2 linked regions of the Nothobranchius furzeri genome follow. The protein of the gene in region 1 interacts with the protein of each later gene in a biochemical or structural test. Links are inferred from orthologs where the notes say so. Each region holds a gene or a part of one and is shown in the gene's direction. Other genes may lie near its edges. The genes, in order: ifih1 and trim65.

Region 1 (4,328 bases):
GATAAATGATATATAATGTGATATGAACCTTTAAATGTATGGAAAAGAATTGAGATGAGAGGTTTTGGACTACGTAAGGCATAAAGAATGACTCTGAACAGGAATTTGAAGGTCTAAACTGAAATGTAAGATAGACTAAACAAACTGGAGCCACGTTTTTACAGTGTAGTTGAAGTGAAGTGGGGCAGAAGACAAACTTTAAAGAGCAAGTCACCCCCAAATAAACTTTTTTTTGCTGATAAGCTAAATAAAGGAGTGTCTAATCGTGCTGCAGACACGTGTCGTCAATAATTTGGCACTTCAGTGCATCTCAGTTAAAATTTAAATATTCTGCCTAAAACTGGCAGTGTTGTGCCGTTGTCAGGTAAAAACTCTGCACTGTATTGATGTTAGCTGGTACATTATGATGTCACAATGCCATTGTGAGCCTGTGTGGGTGTATTTGTTAGCGGCTCCGCCCTCTCAGTCTGCCAGGCAACAGCATTTGTTGCATTTTTCAAACTTGAAGTGGGAGTGAAGTAAGTTTCTCGTAGGGGATGACTTGCTCTTTAAACATCGTCAAAAGATTTTTTTTCCTGAAACTGATGACATGAAAGTTCAACATAATTTGTAATGTGTTCTACAACCAGGTTTTTGGGGGAATTGCACCGTAGAGAAAGCTTATTTTCCTCCTGATCTGTGTAAACAGCATTCACTGTTTGCAGAAAGATTTGGAAACGACTGACAACACAGCTGTCGCAGCAGCAATTACATTGGTAACACATTACAATAAGGGTCCCTTTCTAACATTACTAAGTGCACTACTAAGCATTAACCCTTTATAGGGCCAACATCTATATTTAGACACTTCCACTCACATCAAGGGTCCTTTATTGTGTTACTATACAACAGAGCCAAAAGGGAGAATAAAAAACAAAGAATAAAGAGCAAAAAAAAAGAAAGCATAATGCAGACATACTTTTAAAATAAAATAAATAAACATAGAAATATTGAATATTTACATGTTTTAAGAAATAAAAAAATGAAACCAAATTGCAGAGTATTTACAGGGAATGGGAAAATCAATGGAAGAAATAATTTAAGCAGTATAACAGAAAATGTTCTGCACTTAAATAGAAAAGCCCTAATGATACAAAAGTAGATTTGCATTTACAGAAGTGTGAGATTCAGATTTTCTGGGACTTGTAAAAATATTGTGTTGCAACAGTGCCACCTAGTGGCATATTTTGGTTTTGATTTCTGCTCAAACGAAAGTGAAACAAAACAGCTGTTTTCCTGGAAAACACGAGGGCGGTAAGTGACCATTTAAGGCGTTCCCCGTGTCTTTAAACCTCTTCATGACTGTAGGTGTGTTGTTCTCGGACAGGTGAGGGATCATGGAGCCTGACAGGGGTGAAGAGCAGCTCGCTGAAAACTTAAGACAGCGACTCCGGATCATGGAGCCTGACAAGGACGAACAGCAAGAGGAGCTCATTAAAACCTTCAGACATAGACTGAAGGAAAAGATATCAGTGGGGCCGGTGCTGAACCATTTATATTTTATTTCACATGAAGATAAGGAGCGGATTTTGCAGAAGCTGAAGACAGAGGGTGATGCATCTGCTGCGAACCAACTTATTGACGTTGTCCTTAAGAAACCACACCCTGAAGGCTGGTTCAGGGCCTTCGTGGACGCTTTAATACATGGAGATTCGAAATACGCTGCTATGGTCTTGGAAGGCTCTCCTAAACCCGAGGAAGAGGAAGAGAATGACTACTGTGTAGCACTTGTGAGGTTACTGGCTCCAAGTCTTGTTCAAATGAAGACAGCTGACGTTTGCTGTGAGTGTTTCTCTCTGGGGCTGCTCGGCCAGGACGACAACGACAAGGTAAGTCCATTCAGTTGTCTGAGTAGCATTTATCTCTTTGGCCACTAGATGGCAGCAGAACGCAGTCTTGGATTCTGTTCAGGTGAATAAATCCACTTATTGTGTCTAAACTTACATCAAGGTTTTAGCTGAAATTGATACTCAAGGACCCGGACGTGGGGCCGGGGAACTTCTGAGGAGAATCGTGAGACGCCCACCTGGATGGTTCTCCACATTTCTACAAGTTCTGAAAAAAACAGAACACTATCCCCTACTTAGAGAACTGACCGGAGACCCACATTGGTGTGAGCAGCAGGGTGAGACTGGAGCACTCATTGATCACGAGACAATTTTTTTGCACACTTTTGGCATCTTTAATTCATCTAAGCAATCAGTATCAATAGCTATTCACATTTTTTATAATGTCAGATAGTTCTATTGTTGTCTTTTGTTAAAGTTTATGTCTTAATATACTCATACCATCTTTAACTATGGACTTGCAGGTCATTCAGGTGCAGCTTCCGGTCAGGAAGCAGTGAGCTGTGACAACACAGTGTCTATGGAGATCAGTGTGACAGAGGAGCCTGATAATGACTCAACAGGTTATAATAATAATAATAATAATAATAGTTGATTTTGTCCATTTTCAGTATTATCATCTTCCACCAGAGGGCAGAAGACACACAATTTAGTTTAGCATGTATTTAAAGATTGATCTCCAGCTGCTTCTGTTGTGCAGAAATCACGCTAAAGTATCCCGTGGTACTGCCTTGTTGGATATTTTAGGATCAGCCTGTGTCTGATTAAAACATTAAGAATGAATACAAATGTATTTTTTGAACAGACAGCACCAAGTTTAGTAGGGCAGGTGGGGGTTCGCGTTTTGTTACATAGCTGTATATAGCAGCATGCAGAGCCCAGAATAAAGTTTAAAATTCAGCCACTTGAGTTTATTTGAACTAAACTTGGTTTATGTTTCAGGTCTGTATGCAAGTGCTGAACCGTCCAAAAGCATAGATGGCTTGCCTCCAGGTGGGATTCATTCACTCTCCATTTCATGGCATTAAGACCCCCAAACTTAGTAATAAAAGAAAATCTGTTTGTTTATCCACACTAAACTACTTGCAAAAACTTTGCTCTTGTTCCAGGAAAATGCAAGATAGTGTTTGTTCAGAATGAAATTAGTTGGAACATTTCTATAGCATCAATAAATAAGTTCCATGTGTTAACCGAGGAACCGCAGAGAGGTCGTAGAGGGCGGAATATGTTGGCGCGTCAAATGAAAACCACATGGTGAATCCATTTTAATGGATCTTTAGGGGAATCTGTGAAGTCCAGCCCTCCACAACACCTCTGGGCTTTTACGTCATAAGTTCATTCCCTTTCCAGCTCCTTAGGGGAGACCGAAGGAGAGGTTAGAAGATCTGATCTCCTGTCAATCACACAAGAATGCTTTTCCTCTGTCTTTAAAGTATTTTTGGACCAACCGGGTTTTGGGAATGTTGCCGGAAAACCATAAAGACACAAGTACACTCCTAAGAAGTTAAATTTGTTTGACAGAGTTATGTCAGCTGGTTCCACTGAAACTGTTGATTTAATTTAAATAATAATAAATATTTTTATGTGTTGGAATGTTAAAAGTACATTTATATTACTCTTACATTCAAAGCAACACTTTATACGTTTTCTGCTTCTCCTATTGGTTGAAAGTCAAAGTCAAATGTATTTATAAAGCACATTTAAAATAGCATGGCAGCCTACCAAAGTGCTGAACTGGAAGGGTAACGAGTCAAAACAGAGAAAAAGATTAAAACACATAACAAACAATAAATAGTAAAACCTCATTTAAATAAGCAATGAGGGGGAAAACTGTCCATGTTAAAGACATACAAACAACCTCAACCATGCGGCGTACTACTGGGTTGAGTATCCCACAGTCAAGGTAGATTAATGGCCCAAAGCCATTTTAAAATGGTGATTTTTCAGGGCAGAGTTAAAACATGCTAGCGAGGGAGTCGGATAGACAGACAGAGGAAGAGCGTTCCATCATTTCAGAGCAGCAAAGCCCGTTCATCACATGATTTATATGGGAGAACAGCAAATGCAGAAGGTAGGGATCTTGTTGGGGCATGCCGGTTTAGCTGTACAGACGGGGGTTGCGGTGCTTGTTTATTGAGGACTTTTAAGTGAAAAGAACTTTGAATTGGATCCTGTAAACAGCAGGCAGCCAATGCAACTGTTCCAGCATGGGGGCGATGTGATTCCTTCTGTTTGAAAGCGGAATGGCATCCGGAGGAAAGAACCCTTCTGCAGCATGCTGTTGCTAGCGCTAACAGTGAGCTAACGCTAACATGAGCTAACTCATTAAATAAGCTATGAAGTAAAAAGATCCACACTTCTGGACAAAACATTGTTACTTACGAGTCCAGTAGCAATAAAGCCAGCTCACCATCAGTCTGTGATTCTGTAGCCTCCTTCAGC
Region 2 (4,418 bases), on another chromosome or scaffold:
TGATCTGCATGGTGGTGCAGTGGTTAGCACTGTTGCCTCGCAGCACGAAGGTTGCAGGTACAAAACTCGGCTGCGGCCTTTCTGCGCGGAGTTGCGTGTTCTCCCCATGCATGCGTGGGTTTCCTCCGGGTCCTCCGGTTTCCCCCACAGATCACAACATGCCCTACAGGTTAAAATGTGTATGTTGCTTTGGATAAAAGCATCTGCCAAATAAATAAACATAAACATTAGAAAAAAAGAAGAGAGAAAAAGAAAAATTATGACATATTAGAATTTAACATACAACATTTACATGAGATTCAAATAAGTAGGTATATAATTACCCACTGCTCATCAAAATACATATTTGTAGTGATTAATTATATCACAACAGCTGTAAAGGCATGGGGGCTTTCATGTCTTTAATGTTAACACTTGTCAGTGTCTACAAGGCATCAGTACAATACTTGCATGTTTGTGTGTGTGTGTGTGTGTGTGTGGGGGGGGGGGGGGTTCGTGCAAGAATTATCTAGAAGTAAAATAAATCATAGAATCTAAAACAGTTATGAGGGCTTTCGTTTAAAGAGCAAGTCACCCCCTACCAGATTCTTACTCCACTCCCACTTCCTGTTTGGAAAATGCAACAAATGCTGTTGCCTAGCAGACCGAGAGGGTGGAGCCGCTAACAAATACACACACTCACGACATTGTGACATCATAATGTACCATCTAACATCATAGTGTACTTCTTAGCCAATAGCGATGGCAGATTTAAATTCAAATGTAGACGGTGCATCGCTGACAGTTTTAAGGAGAATTTTTAAATTTTAACTAAGATGAACTAAAATGCCGAATTATTGACGACACGTGGCTGCAGCACAATCAGAAACCCATTTATATAGTTTATCAACAAAAAAAATGTTGATTTGGAGTGACTTGCTCTTTAAAATAGCACCCCCTACAAGAGACTTACTTCACTCCCACTTAATGTTTGAAAAAATGCAACAAATGTTGCCTGGCAGACCGAGAGGGCGGAGCTGCTAACAAATACACAAACACACAGGCTTACAATGGCATTGTGACATCATAATGTACCAGTTTACATCGTAGCATACCTCTTAGCCAATAGCGGTGGCTGATTTAAATTCAAATACAGTGCAGTTTTTACCTGACGACAGCACAACACTGACAGTTTTAGGCAGAATATTTAAAATTTAACTAAAATGCACTGAAGTTCCAAATTATTTACTACACATGTCTGCAGCACGATTAGACACTCATTCATGTTGTTTATCAGCAAATAAAAAGTTGGTTTGGGGGTGACTTGCTCTTTAAATACGTATATTAGTCCACAAACCTCTGAGACTAACGTGAGGACTGGAGGTGATTGACACTCATCAGTAGGAGTAGAAAATTTTATAAAGTTAAAAGCATCAGAGGAACAAATTCACCAGCATTGCTGTTGTGATCATAACTGCACGTATGGATTATCCCGGTTCAGTGACTATTGAACACATTAAAGTTCTGTTTAAAAAATCATTTTTCTCGTCTTTGTTTTTTACGACAGCCCCTGAAGGCGCCATGTTTGCGTACGTCGTCATGACGCACGCTTACGCATTTTTGACATGAATGTATGGTATGTATTGAAGTGGTGAGTGTTATTGTAGTGTACTTGTGTTATATCCTTGTGGTCAGGCGTGAATGTGAAGTTGAACCGTTTTAACATTTTTATCCGACTTTATATTCGCTACCGGAAGGAATTCTGGCCAACATGTTTATGTAGGCTAACGTTAGCTAGCTGGCCGTCTCTCTCTCACCGTGTAAATTATTACTTGGTTTTAGTTTCGTGTCCACTGGCTCTACGATAATAGGAATGTTCTGGGAAATAAAGGCTTTTGGTGTCAGTACTATCAGTGCAGTACTAACTAATCTCGCCTGTTTATTGTGATTGTCCAACAGCTATCAAATAATCAAAGTTTTTGCCCTTTTTTCTGCAGAAATTTCTGCTTCTTCTGCAAACATGGAGTCTCAGAATTCAAATCTAACCTGTGCCATATGCTTGGACCGCTTCAAAGTCCCTGTCACCATTCCCTGTGGTCACACCTTCTGTAAGAACTGCATCACCCTTCACTGGGACACCAAGAGCAAGTCTGACATCGGACCCCAGTGTCCCATCTGCAACGAGGAGTTCCCCACCAGGCCCATCCTGAAGCGTAACGTGTCCCTGTCGGTCCTGACGGAGGCTGCAATCAGCACCGGTCCCTCCTGCAGAGAGCCTCAGGGGAGGGGAGGCGATGGGGCAAAAGCCATGCAGCTGTGTGATCGACACAAGAAGCCCCTGGTTCAATACTGCAAACAAGACAAGAAGCCTGTGTGCCCTGAATGCAGCATCTCAGAATGCAAGAACCACCAGAAGGAGTCACTGGAGGTGGAGAGGGAAAATCAAAAGGTATAGTAATAGATTACACAAACAAGTCATTCAGAGCTATTATCAACATTGTCTCACACTTTTCTCCTGTTTTTGAGTTTATCACATACATGATTTTGCAAATCTATTTCATCAAAGGTAACCTGAGGTAATGTTAATAAAGATTACGGATGTATCCGAACCAGCCTGGACCAAAGCGAAAAGTAATTATCCCCTAAACCGACTGGTTCCAGTGTTGGTGAGAACTGGTAGCAAGTCTTTCCCATCACTGCTGAGGAGTTTTGTTCCCCTCTTCTTATTTGAGTTCTGCCACAACAGAAGGAAAGGGCTGTTTCAGGTCAAAGGTCAGACAGTCTCCCGGATGTTCTGCTAGAGAACAGAATTCATGGTTCCATCAGGTGCAGCGGGTGGTCCAGGTCCTGAAGCAGCAGAGCAGCCTCAGACCATCACACTACCACCACCATGCTTTAGTGTTTGATTCCAGAGTGGGATGCTCACCTTCCAGATGTTGCTGCTCTGGTCTCATCAGTCCTACCCAGAAGTCTTTGAGAACATCCAGATGTGTTTGGTCACCAGAGGTTCCTTTAAAAAGGACACAATGTGCTGATTTTTAAAATCTTTTAGCTTACTTGATGTGAGAGTGGCCTCTGAAACTAAACTCTGCTTTCTAAATGAGGCCAGAACGCTTCCACACGGGACCGGGTTGGCTGGGATTACTGCTTCCTAATAAGTGAAATCTTTGTTTGATATAGACATTTTCATTTGCCTATCTGAAAATTTTAGGCGACCAAAACTTAAAGTCAGAAATCCATAAGATGAAAAATCATTTTTCACGGTACGGTAATGTCACGGTCTCTTCCTAAAACCCAGTTTCCATTACAGCTGCTGCTGAACAGTAAAGGGAAGGAGGTGCAGAAGCTCCTGGAGGAGACACAGAAGAGCATCAGCGACCTGGCTGAGAACATCAACCACGCTAAGGTGAACCTTCTGCTTTCTGCTGACGTGACCTAGAACCGGCTTGAAACTGGAATCAGAACACAGCAAAGCAGACATGTGATTCTCCACCCATAGGTGTCCCTTGAGCAGACTTCATCCTGGATGAAGCTGAAGTTCTCCACCTTGATAAAAACCCTGAGTGAGAAGCAGGAGGCCACAGAGCTGTTCCTTCTGGAGCAGAAGGAGACCGCCATCAGTGAGGCAGAGGCGCGTCTGGCCCAGCTCATGGAGAACTCCCAGATTCTCAAAGAGAGCCAGGTCCAGATAGCAGCTCTGAGCACCCTATCTGACACCGACTTCATTAGGGTGTGTACCTCCGTCTTCACATATGACCAGAGTCCTTTAAACCCGGTCCCCCTGACTGAGAGCAGGGTTCTGTACAGGTCTGCTGATGTTGTTTTGGACCAGAAGTCCTTCTGTGAGTATTTTAGAGTCAATAAAGAATGAATGCATACTTAAAAAGCCCTTAAGGCAGCATGATAAGAAACCGAGATGTTACATAAACACTGCATGTAAAGTCTTCAGTGGTGACTTTAACGTCCTAGCTGGTGTCTGAGTCCAGATGAGAGGCGTGGGACACCCTGTGTATTTATTATTGTTTTCAGTAAGAACATAAAAGTCTGATTGCAATCTAAAATCTTTGAGTAATTGTTATTTTCTGGAAAATGTGAATAAGTATGTAAACCTTTGGACCCTCCCATTAGTGAGGAATATGAAATCACTCTGTGATCGTTTGTTTGTCAGATGTCAGCTGGAGGTGATGAAAGGGTTCACTTTAGAACATGGGCAGAACATGCTAACTCCACACAGGCGTGGGGAGAACATGCTAACTCCACACAGGCATGGGGAGAACATGCTAACTCCACACAAGTGTTGGCAGAACATGCTAACTCCACACAGGCTTGGGGAGAACATACTAACTCCACACAGGCGTGGGGAGAACATGCTAACTCCACACAGGCGTGGGGAGAACATGCTAACTCCACACAGGCATGGGGAGAACTTGCTAACTCCA

Evidence for each region.
Region 2: of the proteins of ifih1 (region 1) and trim65, one has a biochemical effect on the other in vitro, tested with the Homo sapiens proteins (2 studies listed by BioGRID, with this or other methods). The link is inferred for Nothobranchius furzeri from reciprocal best matches to the Homo sapiens genes IFIH1 and TRIM65.

What each region holds. Positions count from the first base shown.
Region 1 is NC_091754.1:19,531,209-19,535,536, reverse strand, and holds the start of ifih1 (interferon-induced helicase C domain-containing protein 1), read left to right. Parts: upstream 1-1,246; 5' UTR 1,247-1,293; intron 1,294-1,366; 5' UTR 1,367-1,376; coding exon 1,377-1,868; intron 1,869-1,989; coding exon 1,990-2,164; intron 2,165-2,350; coding exon 2,351-2,449; intron 2,450-2,828; coding exon 2,829-2,879; intron 2,880-4,328.
Region 2 is NC_091756.1:21,647,991-21,652,408, forward strand, and holds the start of trim65 (E3 ubiquitin-protein ligase TRIM65), read left to right. Parts: upstream 1-1,560; 5' UTR 1,561-1,608; coding exon 1,609-1,615; exon of another isoform or gene 1,616-1,630; intron 1,631-1,743; exon of another isoform or gene 1,744-1,879; intron 1,880-1,976; coding exon 1,977-2,428; intron 2,429-3,289; coding exon 3,290-3,385; intron 3,386-3,478; coding exon 3,479-3,709; intron 3,710-4,418. UniProt on the Homo sapiens protein: E3 ubiquitin ligase that plays a role in several processes including innate immnity, autophagy or inflammation.